Linked DNA regions of Arabidopsis thaliana. The protein of the gene in region 2 interacts with the protein of the main gene of each other region in a pairwise test. Each region holds a gene or a part of one and is shown on either strand. Other genes may lie near its edges.

Region 1 (8,909 bases), on a different chromosome or scaffold from region 2:
CGTACAACCTCTCGTCTCCGAGCTATGCACAAACACGGACCAACGGCTAGTTTGTTGTTCAATGAGTCAGGCCCATTGGGCCCAAAACTTTATTTAGTTTGCTAGAAAATAAAATCAAGTCTAGAAATCCACAACACCCATTGTTTGGCTAAAAGAAGATTTGCTCTCAGCACAAAACTTAATAACACAAACGAATGCGATGAAACTTGAAATTTTACTCCATTCATCAATTCACTCAAGTTTACAAAAGGTTAAGTAGACGTTTTAACGCATCTATGGTTCATAAATTAGATAAATAAAAATGATTTAGTAAACTGAAATGACGCCCTGATTCGGATATATATATATAAGATTACAACATTACATTATCCTCTCTTTCCTTTTTGATAATAAAATAACTGAAATCAACCAATTATAATCTTCTTCTTCTTCTTACGACATATATTATAGTCTAAAGATGCCGGTGCACACAAGATAAAGAGAAGAAAAATGGTGGATGAGGTAAATTCATAATCAAAAGTTGTTTAAAAAAGTACTCTACTCTTAATCGGAATCGCTGTCCTTGTCGTGTCCTCCTAAGTCGAACTCTTGTCCCGCATAGTATTGATTTGTTAATCCACGGTCTCCATCTGGCGGACAACATTGAACCAGAAGCTGGGGTATGTCGGTTTCACTGGACACCACAATAGTACTAAACTGTTGAGACTGTTGAGCGTATAGCGGTGGCGGGCCTAGCAGCGCAGGTGTCAAGTCAGGTTCATTGGACGCCACAAGACTGTACTGTTGAGATTCTTGAGCGTATAGCCGTGGCTGACCTAGCGGCGGCGCAGGTGTTAAGTTAGGTTTAGTGGACGCCACAGGACCACATTCTCGAGCCTTTGGAAGCGCGGATGGTGGCGGCGAGTTAGTTTTGGTGGAGCCCTTTCTATAGCCTATATATGGATTATTCAAAAGATAAACAGAAGCAAGGAAATCTATGTTACACCAAAAGTAAGATAAAAGGAACTCACGTCGTATGATCCAAATAACCAGAAATGTTGCTCCGGCTATGAAACCTGGCATCACTAAAACCGGCATCTTCTCGTCTTTTTTTTTACCATGTTTCATTTCTCTGTTATTCATTTTTGACTTGATCTTTTGGGGATCGCCAGACCAGATCTAGTGATGGATGATTCTATAGAAACTGTATAGTGCAAGTTTAATTTTATCATTTGAATGAAAAGAAGAAGAAAAAAACAATTGTTTATGACATGTGTGTGACAACTGGCAAGTCTTATTTAAAAGTCAATACCAACGGCGGTAATAATTGATACCTGGTTACTTAAATCCTTAGATTTTCTTAATGCCATAATTGACCGAGTCTATCAATGACATTGTTATCATAACTCAAATCAGATTTGATAACTTCTTAATTTCGTAGTTGACATAAATTAACAATCACTATGATAAAATTTGATATTACTAACTTACTCTTTGTCCCAAAAAAAACAAAGTATCTTACTCAAAAACTATGTACAAAACTAGTTTTAAGACCGAGTACAAAACTACTTTTAAGTTGTATTTACTAGAAATACAACTTAGTAATAATCGACAGGAAATTAATCAAATCCATCGGTAGGCGTGACTGCACAGAAGAAGGAAAATGCTGCAGAGGTAAATTCATAAATAATCAAATGACAGGTGACAAGTCTTTATCTCTGTTTTGAAATCAATATATGTATAGCTGCCATAATTTGTGGTCTTTGTTTATACTGCCATAATCAAAAAGTTTCCTAATGCCATAATATCTCGTTCCAATCCATGCTATTATATTTTAAATTTACCTCTGAACCAACAAAAGATGTACTTTGATCATTGAATACTTTTTTTTACTGGACCAACAAAAGATTTACTTTGTTAATTGTTATTCTTGTATGGATGTCAAGTAATTACAACTGAACCAAGCTTCTAAAAGCAGAAACAAGATCAAGTCCTCCTAAACAACTCAAGAAGTGTTTCTCCAGCATCACCGTTATTCTCATCACTCCCACTTCCTCTCCCTCCATTATCTTCTTCACCTTCAATCTCAATCTCAATCTCATCGTTTAAAGGCGGTATCGAACCGATGTTATTGTATGTTTCAGACAGATATTCTTCCACCCTCGACGTGTATCCATCTTGAGGACTGCTGGATGAAGCTGCTGCTCCGAATATAGACTCTGCTTGGTCTATGGAGTTTATGGTAATCTGATTCAGTGAAGTCATCGATGAGCTCCTAGACAATGTCCCCACTGTCATCTCGTCTCTCTCGTCTATTGTTGCTGTGTCAAGGGAACACACTGATCTCGTGTGCTTAGACCTCTCTTTCACTCTCTTGCACCAACTGTGAAGTGAGTCTCTTACGCTCTCTGCTATCACAGCTTTCTTATGCCGAGATCCCATCTGTTCAGATTCAGGTGAAACCATAGAGTTTTTATGAACGATGTTTAGTCACAGACTTGGATAGGCTTAAGATTGTGGAATTGTAGATATATGAAAGGTTTTGACGAACCTGAGTAACGATTACATTGAGAGGCACAGTGCCATAACTACACCAGAACTGAACGAGAACCCTGCATTCACCAGAAAGAAAAAAAAAATCTTAAGAGACAGTGTGTTGCTGCGAATTGTTGTGTATTTGAAACGCACCCAGAAATTAGCCGGCTTGATATCATCACATGGTTCTTCATGAAGCAAGATCTTTCCTTGATTCCCCACTGATACATGAAATTGATGATCTTCTCAAAAACTGAAAAACTTTGCATAGCTGATTTAAGTATTGATGCATTTTATAAGGTGGCCTTACCAAGAACCAGATGAATGTTGCCATTTCAAATGCATTCTGCATTAGCAGGAAATATATAAGGATCATCTGTGTGAATAGAGTAATATCATGGCTTGAAGAATTGAGAAAGGAAAAGTCTTTTTGCTTACCTGAAAAATGATAAATTGTATCAACCGTAGCAGAATTTCTGGTTTCCCAAACCAGAAGAGCCCATCACGTGGTTTGACTTGAGCCCCATTAGATGTGCCTGTCTGCTGCTCCTTAACCTCGAGAGCAAGCTTGGAGACAACATGCTCAAGTTTGGTTCCAACCAACATGACAAGCTTAGACAACAAAACAGATACAAACACATGCTCTGAGTGTTAGTACTGCCTTATGAATTTCAAGCTTTTTACTTAATCTTGCTTTTACTTACAATGGCAGGAACGAATGATATCCAAAAGTACATATTCAGGCCTGCAAGGAAATCACTGAATTAGTAAAGACAAAGCTTTAATGTGGAGATAGAAATGGAATGTAGTTTGTATTTATTGAACCGATAAGTTACCATGAACATTTATGCAGATGCATACTATAGCGTAAACCCAAAGTGGCCAGCTGTTGATTCATCAAGAAACATTCATCAGTCCCATTCTGTAACTCCCTTACGAAATCTTCTGAAAACAGTTGAATAAAGAGTCTTTGATAAGATCTCAATTCTCAGAAACGCATACCTAATTCCAACAATGCCATGAAACTCATCTTCCATCGTCCGTACCATATACATATGGAAGTTGTATGTAAATGGCAAATTATGTTTCTGAAATTTTAAAGTAATGAAGACCGGATTCAGAAAACTAATCATGTCAGCTACCAGATTAGATGAGAATTCTTGAGAAATTACTAGAAAGTTATATTTTAAATTTGAAGGAAAGACTGAGAAACGAAATAAAAAAGTTACTCACAGTGAGGAAACCTAACCGAAGTGCGAAGTAGTCAGACTTTCGTATGGAGCCTCTAAATTGCCGCAGGAAACAAAGCTGCAATGCAAACATATATTTTATTGCTGGACAAATGCCGTAAAAATAGCTTCTGGAGAAAAATATAACAGTGTTCTTAACTAGAGATATGAAATTTTTAAAAAATTACAGCTTAAGGTAAAAGCATGGGGAGTTACCATCCAAATGAGAAAACGATTGTTACTCCAAGGATGAGAGGCATGATGGAAAACAAATGTAGACTGACGCTTCATCACCTTGGTCTTCTTTGCTGTTGAACAAAGTCAAGAAGACTAGGGTATATATGACTGGAAACTAAAGCATCCTAGGCATTAAGTATCTTTAACAATGAATCAGCTGTTTGTGATAAAGCTAAAATTACAGAGATACATCTCTTTTCCACACAGTTCATTTCAATCCTGTATAAGTGATTATACTAGGACAGAAAGGAATTTTTCCTATATCAGTATTTATAAGTGATTATACTGGATTTGATCTGCTAGTCAAGATGAAGCGAAATTTGCAAATCTGCATAAAAGCCTCTCCACAGCTTAAGTGAGTTCATGAATGAACAACCTAAATACTTAACAGAATCCTAGTTTCATGCTGTTCTTAATCCTAAGATAACACAGTTCCTCATGTGCCCTCAAGATGAGACCCATCAAAAACATACAAGCCTTAATTTGAAGGAGAGACAGAAAAGTCTTGTCATTTACCGTGGATATCTGATTCAGCCATTATGATCGCTTGGGCTTCCCATTTTCTCCAACTGTAAATCTGTGTTACGTGATAAAAAGACAACACTGTTTCAGATGGTATTGATATGTTCGTCTGCTTAATCTTACTAACACTCTATGCACATAAATGATAATATCGAAGGTTTTCCCTCAATTTTCAGATTGAAGATAATTTCTATTTGACATATACTTAGGACCACTAATTATTTGATCATGAGGTTCTCTACATCCTCTAGACATGAGGATAAAGTTGATTGCAAGTATAATACATCTCTTCCTTTCGGAGCAACATAGAAATACTTAAGAATACAAATTTAACACTCATATGTAGATTTAGGAGCTAGGATGTGTACCTTGCTCATGGCTAAACCAATGGCAATGCCACTGTATAGAACATGAGTGATACCCAGGACGAATAAGAATCTTAGGAGTTGCTCGAGTCCCTCATACGACACAAATGGTTCACGGCCCTGGCATTGGATCCAACATCCAGTTCAGTAATATAATTAAAAGTCAAAAGGAAAATAGGCTCTTAAGTCGATAGAAAAAGTAAATATTTACATGACCACATTGATGAGAGGCTTCATGTATTCCATGATGAGGTAAGGAGCTCTGGTTTGTAGAAGAGGTGTGTTCCAGAAGAACTTTCTTATGGATTCCATAGTCCTCTTCAGAGCAAATGTAGAATTTACTATTGAAAAGGGAAGAGTTAACACAGATTTCTGAAATCCATCTCGCGCTTTGTGACAACAGAAGTGATATAAGTCCCAGCAACATCAACTCTACCAAGAAAGTTTAACAAGTCAAAATCAAACGAAAAAGAAAGAAAGTATAAAGCACCACAACATCAGCACAGGTTTATTTGACATACCCTCTTTCATTTTCTCAAGTGAAGTAAAAAGTGCCTTTCTTCTAGTCTTCTTTAACCACTGAAAACAAAACAGAACATGAAATTAGCTCCTCATATATATCTAACATGAAAGACACATCCTGTAATAATGACTTCTCTTAGAGTGAAAACATCAACACTACTTCTACTGACATTTAGCAAGCATAAACACATATCTCCAAGAAGAAACATCTCGTCCATAAAAATTCTCACTTTCTAGCACCCATTATTAGATAAAACATTTCCAGCTCATGAATCATGGAGAGCAAGAGTTAACCCAAGTGGCAAGTGTGCAGAAAAAAAAAAAAAATCATAATACGTTCTTCACACTCATTCTTTTGAGCTGAGCATTTCAACAAACATATAGTAGGCACACACACGAAGAAAAAATACAAAACAAAAACACACCTTTCCAAATCTGTAAATGGCGCGTTCAACGAGAAAGCAAACAAAGACCAAAACAGTAACAACCGAAGCAACAGAGTAAGTCGGCGTCTCTGCAAGAGACCTTCCTTCTTTCATCATATGCTCCATCTCCGGCGAGGAACTTTTCTCCCGAGAAAAATGGAGAATCAATCTGCATCTGTGATTAAGAAAGTTTAGCTTTTTCCTCCATTTAATTTTCTACAATAAAATATACTAGTCAAAGAGAAGAAAAAAGCTCATGGAATGCTGTACCAAGTAGAAACCAAAGCACATGGTTGCTTCCTCGTCTTCTCCAACGGTCTTCTCTCTTCTCTTTCTTTATTCAATTGCTTCTTTCATTTATTGCAGCATTCATGTGCTTCCCCCTAAATGTCGTTAAAGAACCTAAATTTAATAATGCAATTTAATAGCCGGACTTTACCGACCGGTACAACCATTAGTCGATAATAACAAAGCCGGGTTGATGATATCTCAATCGGTTTACGTATCATTGAAATTAGGAGAGAGATTCAATCACTGTCCGAATTAAATGAACAATAATCAGATACAAAAACCAAAATTACGCCATTTCATACAATTTTTGTAAACCGAATTTATAGCAGCAATCTACTAATCATAATCTAGCAGCAACAACTCAACCGATTTTACTGATAAATGGCGGTTAATATTAGAAGTTTACGAGTACATCAAAGCTTTGACTAATGATACTAGGATTTGGCAATTTGTGGTGGACCGGTCACTGTTTTGCCAGGAGAATAAATGAATATGATATAATAAATTAACACGTGTACAAATTCCCAACATTGGGGTGGTGGCGCAGTTGGCTAGCGCGTAGGTCTCATAGCTATTGAGTGATCCTGAGGTCGAGAGTTCGAGCCTCTCTCACCCCATTTCCCTTTTTCTCTGTAATTTTCAATTCCCAAAATAAAGAAGCTTTCGTTTCTCTCTCGCATTGACCCTTCTTCTCCAGTTTTATGTTTTGCCTCTCTCCCACTTCTGTAAATAATCTTCTCACATCCCCGCACGATTATTCTCTAGCCGATCAACGAACACAGAGACGCTAATGTATTTGACTCGATTCGAATCATTAGTCCTCTAATCACACCGATTGATTTCCACCCACAGATTTCTTGTCTGAAATTTAGGGTTAGCGAAGGTTTGGATCAATGATGCAAGGTGAAGTACAATTGCAGCCACCGGATTCACAGAAACTAAGTGATTCCGCTCCTTTGTTAGGAGATCACACCAATTCTTCTTCGGCGTCTCCTTCTGCTGCGTCTGTGGTGGCAGGAAATAGCGATGAGATAAAGGCTGAAGAAGATTTAGAGAACGATGCTTCTTCAGCTCCTTGTTGTCGTATTTGTTTGGAGGACGATAGTGAATTGTTAGGCGATGAATTGATTTCACCTTGTATGTGTAAAGGCACTCAACAATTCGTGCATCGCTCATGTCTCGATCATTGGCGATCGGTTAAAGAAGGTTTTGCTTTCTCTCACTGTACTACTTGCAAAGCACAGTTTCATCTGAGAGTCGAACCCTTTGAGGATAACAATTCGTGGCGTAGAAAAGCTAAATTCAGACTCTTTGTCGCAAGAGATGTGCTTTTGGTTTTCTTAGCTGTGCAGACTGTGAGTATCTCTCTCTCTCAGCTTCTCTTCATAGTTTTCGTGAGGATTATAAAGCATTTATTAAGAGATTCTGAGGATAAATTTTATATGATGTCATAATCTGGCTCACAAAGTGAACTAGATTCGAATCTTGACCTGGTTACTGCGTACACATGGTGGGTGCTTGAAATTGACAATGGAAGTTGATGACTATCAAATTGTTCATTTTGCTCACTGTGACTTGCCATTTTTGAAGCTTGTTTTTCATAGAGATTGTCTGAATCTTTTTGACGTCTGATAATAAGAAGATTGTTGAAACTCTAGGTTATCGCTGTGATGGCCGGATTCGCATATATGATGGACAAAGACGGAGAGTTTCGCAACTCTTTCAACGATGATTGGGATCGTATTTTGTCGAAACATCCCATCCCGTTTTATTACTGCATTGGTATTTACTGAATCTTTCATCTCCCTTTTATTGCGTAACTAGTATACCTTTCAAATACCACGGATCTAGAAGCCTTACACGCGTTTGAACATTTGGTGTGTCATGAATTCTTAGGGGTTATATCCTTCTTTGTGCTGACTGGATTTCTTGGAATCATTCTACATTGCTCTGCTCTCAACGGTAATGACCCGAGGATGGCTGGATGCCAGAACTGCTGTTATGGATGGGGTGTCTTGGATTGTTTCCCTGCTTCAATGGAAGCTTGTTTCGCTCTTGTTGTTGTTTTTGTCGTCATCTTTGCCATTCTTGGTTTAGCGTATGGGTTTCTTGCTGCAACTATGGCTATCCAAAGGATATGGCAGAGACATTACCATATTCTCACCAAGCGAGAGCTCACAAAGGAGTACATTGTGGAGGATCTTCACGGAAGTTACACTCCCCCGAAGCTGGATGCAGAGCACGAAGGAAGACTGAAAATGCTGAAACTTCTGTGACCGTGTTTTTTAACTGTCAAATAAAGGTTGTAAGGAGTTTCGGGCACATGAGAGAGACGAGTTCATACGTATATGTTCACAGAGTGTCTTTCTTTTCTTTATCATGCGATGAAAAGTACCTAATGGATATTTTGTCTTATATATATTTATTATAATTATGGTATGAGGTGATGCAATGCTACTGGTTTTTCAGTGACTATTAAAGATATTGAGACCCAAATCTACAAACAGAGTCTATATACCGACTGATGTTTCAGTTATCACACAAAAAGCTCTCACCAGAGAAAAGGGATATTAGTGTAAAAGTGTTCCTTTTTGAGTTACAGTTTCTGAAAGCAGTGAGATGATAACGGAGAGCATAGGTACGTCGTTGCAGCTTAAATTTCCTACAAACCCCCGAAAACCTAAAAATATAACAAAAATACGACCACAGTGGGAGTCGAACCCACGACCTTCTGATCCGAAGTCAGACGCGCTAATCCACTGCGCTATGCGGTCATTTAGTATGCTAGTGCAGATTATAGTATA
Region 2 (6,000 bases):
TCATTTTGCAATGCATTTGAATCACCAAAAAACAAGAGCAAACATCGATAGCAGAGAGGCAAATAGGCTAAAGCATCCTTGGAAAACCAGAGCTTTGAACAAAAAAAAAGAAACAAGTGAACAAAAATAATACCCACTTACCTGGAAGCCACTGACATAACAAATAACCAATGTAGTGACTTGAACAGTGCCTTGTAAAAAGACTCCTTAAAATACCAAAAACGTATACTCCAGGAGCTTGGATTCTTGTATCTTTGTTGACTTCTGATTAAACGTCAGTAGACACTGAGAAAATAAAAAAAATTCTCGTAGAGCCGCCATTCAAAAGTTTCAAGAATTCCACAAGTCAAGTGTAAGCAAATAAGAAAAGTCACCGGTCAACATGAGACTACTAAATAATGATACTGCTACTGTCATCTATCGCCTGCCCCATCCATATAATACGATTTACTAAAAGCCTGCCATGTTTGATAATGCAACTTGTGTAGGGTATTTAGATGTTTTTTTGTAATACCATCAATGTGTGTTTAAAGAAAGGCCTCTTGTGTATCTGCACGACATCTCAAACAAAACCAATCAATAAAAACAAGAAACAATCTTCTTTCTCATGGACAGATCTCAAGAACACTATGCCAATGGTAAGAAGAAGCACCTGATAAAGTTAGATCCTTGAATTCATTTTTTCATGAGATATAATAAACATGAGTGTTAATTTTTCAGGTGACCAGAACTTAGAAGCAAACCTTATAGATCATGAGGTGGTAACTGAATCATCATCATCAGCTGTGCCTCAAACCGAGAACTATAAAAGGTGGCTTCGTGTCTCCATATACGTAATCTTTGTCCTCTTTTGCCAGCCACTAGCTACAATTCTGGGTAGATTGTACTATGAAAATGGAGGAAATAGCACATATGTGGTAACACTTCTTCAACTCATTGGCTTCCCTGTACTGGTTCTGTTCCGCTTCTTTTCTCGAATCAGGCAACCCAAATCAACAGATACAAATTTCAGTCAGTCCCCTTCCTTCACCACCCTTGCATCGGTTTACTTGTGCACTGGACTGCTAGTGTCCGCTTATGCTTATTTGTCTGCAGTAGGGTTGCTCTACTTACCAGTCTCTACTTTCTCCCTCATCTTGGCCTCACAGTTGGCCTTCACTGCCTTTTTCTCATATTTCCTTAACTCGCAAAAGTTCACTCCTTTGATAGTCAGTTCTTTGCTTCTCCTCACTGTATCCTCTGCTCTTCTTGTGGTCAACACTGATTCAGAAAACTCAACTAATGTATCTAGAGTACAGTATGTGATCGGGTTCATATGTACCATCGGTGCTTCCGCTGGGATTGGACTGTTACTATCTCTGATACAAATGCTCTTCAGGAAAGTTTTCACGAAGCATACATCCTCAGCAGTCACGGACTTGGCCATTTACCAGTCTCTAGTTGCGAGTTGTGTAGTTCTCATAGGACTTTTTGCAAGTGGAGAGTGGGAAACTTTGCCAAGTGAGATGAGAAACTACAAACTCGGGAAAGTGTCATATGTTTTGACTTTAGCCTCGGCAGCTATTTCCTGGCAAGTCTACACTCTTGGTCTTGTGGGATTGATCTTCGAGTCATCCTCTGTGTTCTCCAATTCCATAACAGCTGTGGGATTGCCTATAGTTCCAGTTGCGGCAGTGATAGTTTTCCATGATAGAATGGACGCATCAAAAATCTTCTCCATTATTTTAGCTATCTGCGGCTTCCTTTCATTCGTCTATCAGCACTACCTCGACGAAAAGAAGTTGAATACTAGCCACACAAGTGCTGTAGGAGATCTTCATCTACCTGTTGAGGAAGGTCACACAAACATACAAAGTGTGTGATCAAAGCATATTTCCAGTATAAAGCCAATGTATCTTTCTTTTTTTCCCCTCAAAGGCCAAAGCCAATGTATCTTTGTACAGTTTGAGCATAAAAAACGTGTAACGCTACTTTGCAAACTAGTCAGTCATAATAGCTAATAAGTTTTGTACATATGATACCAATAATTTCAGAATATTTTTCTTCTATATATACCAATAAGTTTTCTTAAAGATGCAAATGCAATACTCTGCTTTGTAATTTTGCAATGCATTTGAAACACCGAATCAAGAGCAAACAACGAAGTCAGAGAGACAAATAGGCTAAAACAGAGCTTTGAGCAAAAAAAAAAAACAAGTGAACAGATATAATACCCACTTACTTGGAAGCCACTGACATAACAGATAAACAATGTAGTGACTTGCAACAAAACTCCTTAAAATACCAAAAACGTATACTCTAGGAGCTTGGCTTCTTGTATCTTTGTTGACTTCTGATTTAACGTCAATAGACACTGAGGAAAAAGAGTTCTCTTAGAGCCGCCATTCAAAAGTTTTAAGAATTTTAAGTCAAGTGTAAGCAAATAAGAAAGGTCAATGGTCAGCATGAGACTACTAAATTATGATACTGCTGTCATCTATCACCTGACCCATCTTTATTATTATACACAAATTAGTAAAAGTCTGCCAAGTTTGATTAGTGCAACTTGTATCTGGGGTATTTAGTTACTATAATAAATATCATTTTGTGTATAAAGAAAGGTCTCTTCTGTATCTAAAAGACATATCAAACGAAAGAAATCAATAAACACAATATTCTTTCTTCCAAATTTTCTCATTTCTCATGGGCATATCTCAAGTACACTATTGCAATGGTAAGCAAAAGGTACCTGATGACGTTAGATCATTTGATCCTCTTTCGATGAAATATAATAACCACGAGTGTTAATTTTTCAGGTGACCAGAACTTAGAAGCAAACCTTCTAGATCATGAGGAAACTGAATCATTTTCAGTACCTCAAACGAAGAACTGTAAGAGGTGGCTCCGTGTCTCCATATACGCAATCTTTGTCATCTTCTGCCAACCACTTGCTACAGTTCTGGGTAGACTGTACTATGAAAATGGAGGGAAAAGCACATATGTGGTAACACTTCTTCAACTCATTGGCTTCCCTGTACTGATTCTCTTCCGCTTCTTTTCTCGAATCAGGCAACCCAAATCAACAGATACAAATTTCAGTCAGTCCCCTTCCTTCACCACCCTTGCATCGGTTTACTTGTGCACTGGACTGCTAGTGTCTGCTTATGCTTATTTGTCTGCAGTTGGGTTGCTTTACTTACCAGTCTCTACTTTCTCCCTCATCTTGGCCTCACAGTTGGCCTTCACTGCCTTTTTCTCATATTTCCTTAACTCGCAAAAGTTCACTCCTTTGATAGTCAATTCTTTGTTTCTCCTTACGGTTTCCTCTGCCCTCCTCGTGGTCAACACTGATTCAGAAAACACAACAAATGTATCTAGAGTACAATATGTGATTGGGTTCATCTGTACCATTGGTGCTTCCGCTGGGATTGGATTGGTACTATCTCTGATACAACTGCTCTTCAGGAAAGTTTTCACGAAGCATACATCCTCAGCAGTCCTGGACTTGGCCAATTACCAGTCTCTAGTTGCAACTTGTGTGGTACTCATAGGACTGTTTGCAAGTGGAGAGTGGAGAACTCTGCCAAGTGAGATGAGAAACTACAAACTGGGGAAAGTGTCATATATCTTGACTTTGGCCTCAGCAGCTATTTTCTGGCAAGTATACACTGTTGGTTGTGTGGGATTAATCTTCGAGTCTTCTTCTGTGTTCTCCAATTCCATAACTGCTGTGGGACTGCCTATAGTTCCAGTTGTAGCAGTGATAGTTTTCCATGATAAGATGGATGCATCAAAGATTTTCTCCATCATTTTAGCTATCTGGGGCTTCCTTTCATTTGTCTATCAGCACTACCTCGACGAAAAGAAGTTGAAGACTTGCCAGACAAAACCTGTTGAGGAAGAAACACAAACTTTATGAAACAAGTTGTATCGAAGGTCTCAGAAACAAACATACATAGTTGTACACAGTCATGTAAATAACCTATATAAAGCTTGTATGTGTAATATCCGTAATGGTCCATGCAAATGGGATATGTATGTCGCTCATATTTCAGGTATTTAGAACTTTTATTCAAAAGAGTATTGTGTAATACGAGCAGAGTGATAAAAGCAGTCATTTATTTAACAGAAAAACCATGTCAATTTTGTGATACTTTCATTGTGTGAGTGTGAAACCCGATAAAAATTGACCAGTTAGCATAACTTACAGATATGTCAATGCAATATTCTCCTTTCTAGTTTTGAAATGCACCTAAATCTTGGGAAACAAGAACAAACAGCAAATCATGTATAATGAGAGATAGAAGATAATTTGTCAGATTGGTCCAACATCCTTGGGGAAACAGAGCTTTGAACAAAAAGTAAATGACCAGAAATAATACCATTTTATATAGCGACTTCCTCTGCCGTCCAGTATTAAGTTGTTGCGAATGTCTTCTCTTGAAAAGATAGGCGAGACATAATCTTTAGCTAACGTCAGCATCATCTTGATGGCAAAAACTTCATGACTAGCCATGGAAACCGAAGTGTGTACCCAATCCAAATAAATTTAAAAAGACAAATAACTTTTAGAAATGTCGTCCTCATCAAGATCACAGAATACTACAACTTGTGTACACGTTCATACATATGCGTATGCGTGTTAAGTTTCTATTTGTCTATGCGTATGGGGTTCATGTCCTCCACATAGTTGCAGAAGAAAGTCTGAATGAATATTGCCTACACATAATTTCCTCCTAGACTTAACTCATCTCTTGGTCAACAATAGAGGCATCTTTGCATGTAGAAAGACTACAGATACTAAATTCATGGAAAGAGAAGAGATATGGTTGGCATTTACTGAATGTGGGGCCAAGAACAAAGAAAACTTAGACGGTGACCGATTCCTAATCCCAGAATATATAACTTAGCATATCTCACCCATATCAAAGGAGCAATCACTTGGTAGCATTATCAACCAAGAGAATTGATAATAAGATACGTTAGTTCCTCCTTGTCCATCTCCAAGGTGGTGATTCCACATCCACCATGACGGCGGATCAAGAACTACAAATCATTGGTGAGTAAGCATAAACCAGTTTGTGGTGAACGTCCTATTCTTTCATCTTCAAAAAAAAAAAAGATGGTTATGATATTTTATAATTCAATATATGAAACGATCGACAACAAATAAACTAATTTTTGCGTTATTTTCACTCACTTACCAGTTCGGCAGGGAAAAGAACCAAATCCAACAGTTCAAGATGAAAGAAATTCAGTCAGTAGCAGCCAAGCAGAAGTATCTCACTCTAACACATACAAACGGTGGCTCAGGGTGACTTTATATACATTCTTTGTCATTTCAGGCCAAACAGTTGCTACAATTTTGGGCAGAGTATACTATGACAACGGAGGAAACAGTAAATGGCTAGCAACGGTAGTTCAACTTGTTGGCTTTCCTGTGCTACTTCCATATTATATCTTGTCATTTAAAACACATGCAACAACTGATAGAGATGGAAAAAGAACCTCACCTAGGAACCGTGTATTGGTTTACGTAGTGCTTGGACTTCTTGTAGGAGCAGATTGCTATCTGTACTCCATTGGACTTCTTTACTTACCCGTTTCTACCTATTCCCTGATCTGTGCATCTCAGTTAGCCTTCAATGCTTTCTTCTCTTATTTTCTTAACTCACAAAAACTTACCCCTATCATTTTAAATTCTCTTTTCCTCCTAACTATATCTTCCACCCTACTTGCATTCAATAATGAGGAGACAGACTCCACAAAAGTTACAAAAGGAGAGTATGTCAAAGGTTTCATATGCACCGTTGCTGCGTCTGCTGGTTATGGTCTAGTCTTATCCCTACAACAGCTAGCCTTTCTAAAAGTCCTAAAGAAGCAAAATTTCTCAGAAGTTATGGATATGATAATCTACGTGAGTCTAGTGGCCAGTTGTGTTAGCGTGGTGGGGCTTTTTGCTAGCAGTGAGTGGAAAACTTTGAGCAGTGAAATGGATAACTACAAACATGGGAAGGTATC
Region 3 (7,609 bases), 7.8 Mb from region 2:
CTGCATCATCTTCATATCCAGTATCCTTCTTCCTTGAGGATCGTTGATGAGACATCTGTTGTCTTCAAATAAGACTCTGTATCCCTTGGATACCATTTGAGAAACAGTCAACAGATTTCTTGCTAAACCCGGCACTAGAAACACCTCTTTGATGATCTTCTCTCATTGGCTTGTCATCACTTGGATATTTCCTTTTCCTGCCGTCATTACATGTTGACCATTCCCCACTTTGATCGGTACCTTTACACTTTGATCAAGAGTGATGAAGTATTTAACTTCCTTGGTCATATGGTTAGTGCATCCGCTGTCAACTAGCCATGTCTCATCATTCACGTTTGATGATGTTTCTTCTTCGACTGCACTGAACAGCATGTGATCCTCATCATCATTTGTTTCTTCTAGACTTAGATCCACTCGCTCGGTCCTTCTAAGTCTGCAGTTCTTTGCTAGATGTCCCGGTTTGTTACACACGAAACATCTTCTCTCATTGTTCCCCACTTGTTGCGAAAGAACACCTTTGTTCTTCTTCATCCAGCAATCACTCTCATTGTGATTTTTACGTTCGCAAACGTCACACCATTTCCCAGCCTGCGTTTGACGCTTGTCTTCACGTTTGTTTTCTCCATAGAACGCTCCTTCCGTTGATCATTCGTCTCGCATCTCTACCCGCTTCTCGTGTGCTTTCAATGTGCCTATCAACTATGTTACGGACAACGAAGTCAGATCCTTCGTTTGCTTCATCATAGCCACTATGATGTCAAATCTTTTCGGAAGAGAAATTAGGATTTTTTGCACTATTTGATAGTCTGATTTCTCTTCTCCATGAACTCTCAGTTGATTTCCCATCTCAATCAACTTGGTCATGAAAGTGTTGATATTGTCACTTTCTTTCATCTTCAAATTCTCATACTCCCTTCTAAGAGATTGAAGCTTTATCATCCTGACTTGTGGTGATCCTTGAAATTCCAATACCAAGGCTTTCCAAGTGCGCTTGATGCAGGGGCGATTCTCGGAAATATGGAATCTGAGACGGCAGTTTGAAGAATTTGCAAAGCGGTTAGATCCTTTAAGGATGCTGCTTCACATCGTGTCTTTTGTTGCACTGCTTCAGGGCTATGATCTCCTTCTGCGGGTGGTTTTGGAACTCCTTCGTCAACAATTTCCCACAGTTTCTTTGTCTGGAAAATTGTTTTCATCTTGATGCGCCAAAAACCATAATTCTCTTTGTTGAAGATTGGAGTCACAATGTGTGACACCATCTCCATAACTCTCTCGTGTTTATTAAACTCTTTACTTGAAATGTTTGGCCCTTGAATCAGTAGGGCTCTGATACCATGTTGGAAATTGAAGCCTCTTGTTACAAAGAAAAAACAAGTGTTTACTTGTTGTTCTGTTTCTTATGAGATACACAAAGCAAAAGAGAAACTGACTTTTATTGAATGGAGAACTTGTTCGTTTCATCACGATACAAAAAGTTTAAATAGAAAACAAATAGACACAATAAGTAAAGAGTTGTGTCTCTTTCTCTCTAAGATAAACGACACAACCTAATCTAAAAGTCACGACTCTAACAAACACCTTTTAATACAACATAATTATAACTTATAGACCAAACTCAATTATAAACTAACAGATTTGATGCAGCTTCCTAATTTCCAACAGCTCCATGATGTTTATCAGCTCGTTGTTGTCAGAATCTGCATCTTCATAAATTTATAATAAATATAAATATATAATGTATAACTGTATGTAGAACCGTATATTGTGGATCCGTGAATTGGTGGAAGAGTTGCTATTGCGGAATCGTCCAAGAAGCTATTCATAAAATCAATCACGAAAGAAAAAGAATTTGTTTTGCTATTATCTCTATATTGTGGGTAGCCATTTTTGGAATCTTTGAAAAATCAACCAATACGCATTTTCTCTCAGTTTGGAAGTTAACAAAGACGCGTTTTTTCAAGGTTTTGTGGGGACTGGGGACCAAAAGTTCTTAATATGGGTTAACGTCTCACAGGTAATACCAAACATTTCATTTATTTGTGTTTTTCTATCACTATCTTTTCCACATTTTAGTATTTTACTATTACATATAATTTTTGACTAAGAAGTTGATTGTGAATGAGTCTGTACATCTTCCTAGAAATGATTATAAGTATATTATTTAATTTGTTACTCCCTCTATTGTCATTTATTTGTAGTTTAAGTTTCAAGGTTTTGGCACAAATGAAATTATTTCGTTTTTTATTATTATCTTTTAATATAGTTAATTATCTATTTAAAAACAATTCAACAAATTGAAAAAAAAGTTTTGTAGAATTTCTAAGAGTCAAAAATAATAAAATTTCCATTAAAAATTGAAAACAACAAATAAAATGAAACTATTTGTTTTTGCTTAAACAACACTTCTTAAAAAACAGAGGAACCATTGTAAAATAGATTTTTCCCAACACAAATCGAAAACGTAACTTATATAATCTCTATATTTTTAGTAATTCAGCGACTTATCATTTCATTGTTAACTATTTTTCACTGACATGTTTCTCGTTATATAAAAGTCTCTGTTTATGTCAATGGTCGTATGTGAATGGTTCATGTATTATGCAAAACTGTTTATGATAATATTGCCGGGGAAAAAAAACTGCCATGTTTCATTTTTTTACTAGTTATTACATTTGATTATTATCAACCAACTTACCATTGAAAGATAACTTGTGATTATTATTTACAGTAACGAAGAAAATTAGGCCATATTTTGTTTTCTTTTTGGAACCTTTCAAATGTCAAAGCTGGTAGGCTATATAAATATAAACAAAGCTCAAAAATTTATTACTATACTTAACAGTAACGAAGTAGACTACTTCAAGTAGTACATCAAAAAAAAAAAAACCAAAGAAGTTGTTATCTTTAACAAACAAAAATGGGAAAATGCTCTGCTTTGATGATATTCCTCTCTTCTTCTCTTCTACTTGTCCTTCAAACACTCCATGTTGTTAACGCGGTCAAATGTTTCGGAAACTCCTTCAACGGTAACAGCAGCACCTTCGCTCAGAATCGCCAGAAACTGTTCCCTACTCTTGCTGACAAAGTCATCATCAACGACGGATTCTACAACGCTTCACTCGGCCAAGATCCCGACAAAGTTTACGCTCTTGTCAGCTGCGCAAGAGGCTACGACCAAGACGCTTGTTACAATTGTGTCCAATCATTGACTCAGAACACACTAACAGATTGTCGAAGCCGTAGGGATTCGTTCATATGGGGAGGCAATGACGATGTAACTTGTCTTGTACGTTCCTCAAACCAGTCTACTTTTGGGAGCGTCCAGCTTAAACCTCCTGTTGTATGGCCAAGTCCAGATACTATAGAGTCATCTAAAAACATAACCCTTTTCAAACAACAGTGGGAAGAAATGGTTAATCGGACCCTAGAGGCTGCCACGAAAGCTGAAGGTTCCTCGGTGCTTAAGTACTATAAGGCCGAAAAAGCGGGTTTCACCGAGTTTCCAGATGTTTACATGCTGATGCAATGCACACCCGACTTAAGTTCACGAGATTGCAAGCAATGTTTGGGAGATTGCGTGATGTACTTTAGAAAAGACTATATGGGAAGAAAAGGAGGCATGGCTAGTCTTCCAAGCTGTTATTTCAGGTGGGATCTATATTCTTTCCATAATGCTTTTGATAATGTAACAAGAGTTCCTGCGCCTCCTCCTCGACCTCATGCTCAGGAAAAGGAGAGCTGCATAACAGTAAAAAAAGGTAACACAAATTATTTTAGCTTTCATTTAGAGCTCAAAAGAGCCAATTTTGAGGAATATTGTTTACATAAGTGACATGAAGCGGTTTGGTATGAACTTTTCGTGCCAAATTGTTATTATGATTAAGAGGTTAATTCTTAGACAAAGGGTTGGTAATTTGCAGGGAAAAGCATTGGGTATGGCGGAATTATCGCAATAGTTGTGGTGTTTACTTTCATTAATCTTTTGGTGTTTATTGGCTTTATCAAAGTCTATGCACGGAGGGGAAAATTAAATAATGGTAAGTGTAACTTGCTTCAATCAAGCTTATGATGTAGAGAGTAAGGCTTATGGATTTTTTGTTTTTTTAGTTGGTAGTGCAGAATACTCTGATTCTGATGGTCAATTCATGTTACGGTTTGATCTTGGTATGATCGTAATGGCAACTGATGACTTCTCCTCTGAAAATACGCTTGGCCAAGGTGGATTTGGTACGGTTTATAAGGTAATAATAAACTTTTTCCTTAATGATGAGTTCTTGATCAACATTGGTCTTTTATGAGTAAATAGATATCTTGAGAATGGGTTTCAGGGGACATTCCCAAACGGGCAAGAGGTAGCGGTCAAGAGACTAACAAAAGGATCAGGACAAGGAGATATGGAGTTTAAGAATGAGGTTTCACTCTTGACAAGACTCCAACATAAGAATCTTGTTAAGCTTCTTGGGTTCTGTAATGAGGGAGATGAAGAGATTCTTGTCTACGAGTTTGTCCCCAACTCAAGTCTTGATCACTTTATCTTTGGTGAGCCTTCGAAAGACAGCTGCCAAGTTGGATAGATTTAGAACTTTTAGCAAACTAAATGTTTCTTTGAACTCTGCAGATGAAGATAAGCGTTCTCTTCTTACATGGGAGGTGAGGTTCAGAATTATAGAAGGCATTGCTCGAGGTCTTCTCTATCTCCATGAAGATTCTCAGCTGAAGATTATTCACAGAGACTTGAAGGCAAGCAACATACTTTTAGACGCTGAGATGAACCCTAAAGTTGCGGATTTCGGGACTGCGAGGTTGTTCGACTCCGACGAGACTCGAGCTGAAACAAAAAGAATAGCTGGAACCCGGTAAGAAATATATCAATCAAATTTGATGACACATTTCAAATGCTCTGTTTTGAAAACAGAGTCCATGAATTAATGCTATTGGTTTGCATATATGCAGTGGATATATGGCTCCTGAGTACTTGAATCATGGACAAATCTCAGCTAAATCTGACGTTTATAGCTTCGGTGTTATGCTTCTAGAGATGATTAGTGGTGAAAGAAACAATAGCTTCGAAGGAGAAGGACTTGCAGCTTTTGTAAGCTTCTTCACAATTTTTTTTTTTTTTGAATAGCTGGAGGTTTTGGGCCGAAGCCCGTAATCCCCCCAGGACCGAAACCACAGCATGTAATATTAGTTTCGTTCCAAGCGTTACTCGAACCGGCGACCTTAAGCTTCTTCACATATCAGTTTTTGTTTTTCTATCTTCAAAACTTTATCCCGAAAGTAAGAACTTATGTTTTTGGTGTAGGCATGGAAAAGATGGGTTGAAGGAAAGCCTGAGATTATAATTGATCCGTTCTTAATAGAGAATCCAAGAAATGAGATCATCAAGTTGATCCAAATTGGTTTGTTGTGTGTTCAAGAGAATTCAACAAAGAGACCAACCATGAGCTCTGTAATAATTTGGCTTGGCAGTGAGACTATCATCATTCCTTTACCTAAAGCTCCTGCTTTCACTTGGATTCGATCCCAATCTGAAAGTGGTGCAATGTCATTGAGCGACGATGTCTTCACGGAGTTGAGTTGTCGTTGAGATATACATCAGTTAATCAAAATATTTGAATATTTTTTAATATCAAACTCCATTAATCTGCAAATTTGTTAGTAAATCGCATAATCTTGGATTCGAACTTTAGACTTCTTTGGTGTAAAGGCTTTATTAACTCTTGATTAACCTTTGGGCCAAGAGGGTTTTCGCGTCCAGTTTTGTTTTAAAACTATTTTCACCAATATTAATTAATATTATAGAGGTAAGAAATAAATAAACTTAAAATGTTGCACATATAAATATGATTTAATAATAACTGAAATATCTTATAAATCTCAATTAGGAGAAGATAATAAATCTTTTCTTAACAATCAGATAAAATATCAGTTCTTAATTTCAGTTACTTTATTCTGATATATCTTACTCTAAATAGAATTATAAAGAAGTTTTTTTCTTTCTTTTTGTTAAAACAAATATTATAATATAACAATTGTTTTTAAGTATTTTCACATTAATTCCCAAAACAAAATATATCACGTACCTAATATAGTTCTCCCTAATATATTTCTTCTAAATGACCAATAAATTTCAAAGTTGATTTTAATTTTACATGACCAATAGAGTGAGGATAAAAAATCTTTTCTGACCAATCAAATTCCTGATTTTAGCCACTCTACTTGATTCTTATCTTAGTATGAACATATATATAAGGAAGTTTTTTTTTTGTTGTTGAAAATATAATATAAGGAATTTTCCTTGATATTTTCAGAATTCCCAAATAAGAGTATATCTATGTACCTAATATAGTTCTTTCTAATATATTTTTCTAAATATATACCTAAACAAAATCTAGTGCAGCCGAATATTGTCAAAGACTCAAAGTTGCTTTCAATTTTGTAATAGAAATATTTTATATAAATAATATTTCCCCCAAATAGCATGGATGCAAAATCACATAATAGCATTATAAATAGAATACCATAAAATATTGTTCAGTTTTTATTTTTCTTATCCCATTATATATATGAGATAAGCATTACATAAAATAGAGAGCAAGCATAAAAAAAAAGATAGAAACCAAACTCCTCTTAGTACTTGCGACCAAGAGTGAGTTCAAGGGACAATTCTTCTTCACCAGTTGCACCACCAACAACAACAACATCATTGCCTCTGTTTTCATTTAGTCCAACCTGCCATAAAATATACATTAATCTAGTTTCATAGGCATCAAATCAACATGTTGATAATCATGCATGATATTTAGTAATATAAAAATTACAAAAGGAAAAAAAAATTACCTTTGAAGATTGATCTAGAGACTTGTTACTTGATCCCAAAACTGGGGTTATCTTCTCAGTATTATCCAGTTGTAGCCTAGAAGAAATTGAAAAAGAAGATTGTTTTACTCACGAAACCAAAAAACGATTAATTATATGAAAAACTAAGTTGATACATGAACATAAGAACCTTTGTTGATTTTGGATAAATTGGGTAGCACGTTCATAGATTTGAAGATATTGCTGAGATTGCCTCTGTGTCATCTCCCGCATCATTTTTATTTCTGTCAAAGGATTGGAGGTGCATAATTATGAATAAACGGATATAAACTTCACTATGCATTATGTTGAAAATCTAAATATTCCTTATGCAAAGTTACACGACAAACATATTTATTAAAATTTAATTTAAAATGTAAGATAGTTATTTTACCTTTACTAGATTCTTCTTTCTTTTTGTTCCTATACATCTATTGAAAGTAAAAAAATAAAAAATAATTCAGTACTTGCCATCTTAGATAGTATATGTTTTGTAGATAAGTTTTATACACTATATAATTATAAAGACCTGGAGATGACTTTTGACATGTGATATTGTGAGGTCTCTCACACCCATAAGACTCAAAATTCTCTTAGGAGTTGCACCTGCAAATTTAAGGAGAACAATAATATCGACTATAGTGAATTAATCTAAAAAAGGATATAAAGAGAACATTAATCATGGAAAGGTCTTAAAAGGAAAAAAAAGATTGTTGATTTCAATGACAATTTTTTTTTCTTTGAATTT

The links. Proteins that work in one complex are often made in the same cells at the same time.
Region 1: the proteins of AT4G18205 (region 2) and MLO4 interact in a protein complementation assay, tested with the Arabidopsis thaliana proteins (one large-scale study listed by BioGRID).
Region 3: the proteins of AT4G18205 (region 2) and CRK40 interact in a protein complementation assay, tested with the Arabidopsis thaliana proteins (one large-scale study listed by BioGRID).

Annotation. Positions count from the first base shown.
Region 1 is NC_003070.9:3,669,970-3,678,878, forward strand, and holds MLO4 (Seven transmembrane MLO family protein), read right to left. Parts: upstream 6,165-8,909; 5' UTR 6,085-6,164; exon of another isoform or gene 5,990-6,084; 5' UTR 5,941-5,989; coding exon 5,815-5,940; intron 5,447-5,814; coding exon 5,389-5,446; intron 5,300-5,388; coding exon 5,079-5,299; intron 4,988-5,078; coding exon 4,871-4,987; intron 4,558-4,870; coding exon 4,497-4,557; intron 4,052-4,496; coding exon 3,960-4,051; intron 3,823-3,959; coding exon 3,748-3,822; intron 3,603-3,747; coding exon 3,517-3,602; intron 3,401-3,516; coding exon 3,351-3,400; intron 3,260-3,350; coding exon 3,219-3,259; intron 3,127-3,218; coding exon 2,953-3,126; intron 2,861-2,952; coding exon 2,825-2,860; intron 2,736-2,824; coding exon 2,668-2,735; coding exon of another isoform or gene 2,598-2,667; exon of another isoform or gene 2,592-2,597; coding exon 2,531-2,591; intron 2,422-2,530; coding exon 1,966-2,421; 3' UTR 1,787-1,965; downstream 1-1,786. Other genes in the region: AT1G10990 (uncharacterized protein), read right to left, coding at 544-1,122; AT1G11020 (RING/FYVE/PHD zinc finger superfamily protein), read left to right, coding at 6,999-7,460, 7,764-7,887, 8,002-8,381.
Region 2 is NC_003075.7:10,071,168-10,077,167, forward strand, and holds AT4G18205 (Nucleotide-sugar transporter family protein), read left to right. Parts: upstream 1-2,543; 5' UTR 2,544-2,682; coding exon 2,683-2,713; intron 2,714-2,795; coding exon 2,796-3,898; 3' UTR 3,899-4,203; downstream 4,204-6,000. Other genes in the region: PUP7 (purine permease 7), read left to right, coding at 608-638, 721-1,862; AT4G18203 (uncharacterized protein), read right to left, coding at 1,577-1,753, 2,285-2,332, 2,484-2,492; PUP10 (purine permease 10), read left to right, coding at 5,008-5,038, 5,187-6,000.
Region 3 is NC_003075.7:2,287,128-2,294,736, forward strand, and holds CRK40 (cysteine-rich RLK (RECEPTOR-like protein kinase) 40), read left to right. Parts: upstream 1-2,774; 5' UTR 2,775-2,917; coding exon 2,918-3,758; intron 3,759-3,920; coding exon 3,921-4,037; intron 4,038-4,107; coding exon 4,108-4,241; intron 4,242-4,328; coding exon 4,329-4,539; intron 4,540-4,618; coding exon 4,619-4,856; intron 4,857-4,953; coding exon 4,954-5,092; coding exon of another isoform or gene 5,093-5,128; exon of another isoform or gene 5,129-5,305; coding exon 5,306-5,590; 3' UTR 5,591-5,823; downstream 5,824-7,609. Other genes in the region: AT4G04580 (Homeodomain-like superfamily protein), read right to left, coding at 6,634-6,735, 6,844-6,919, 7,013-7,106, 7,256-7,292, 7,391-7,467.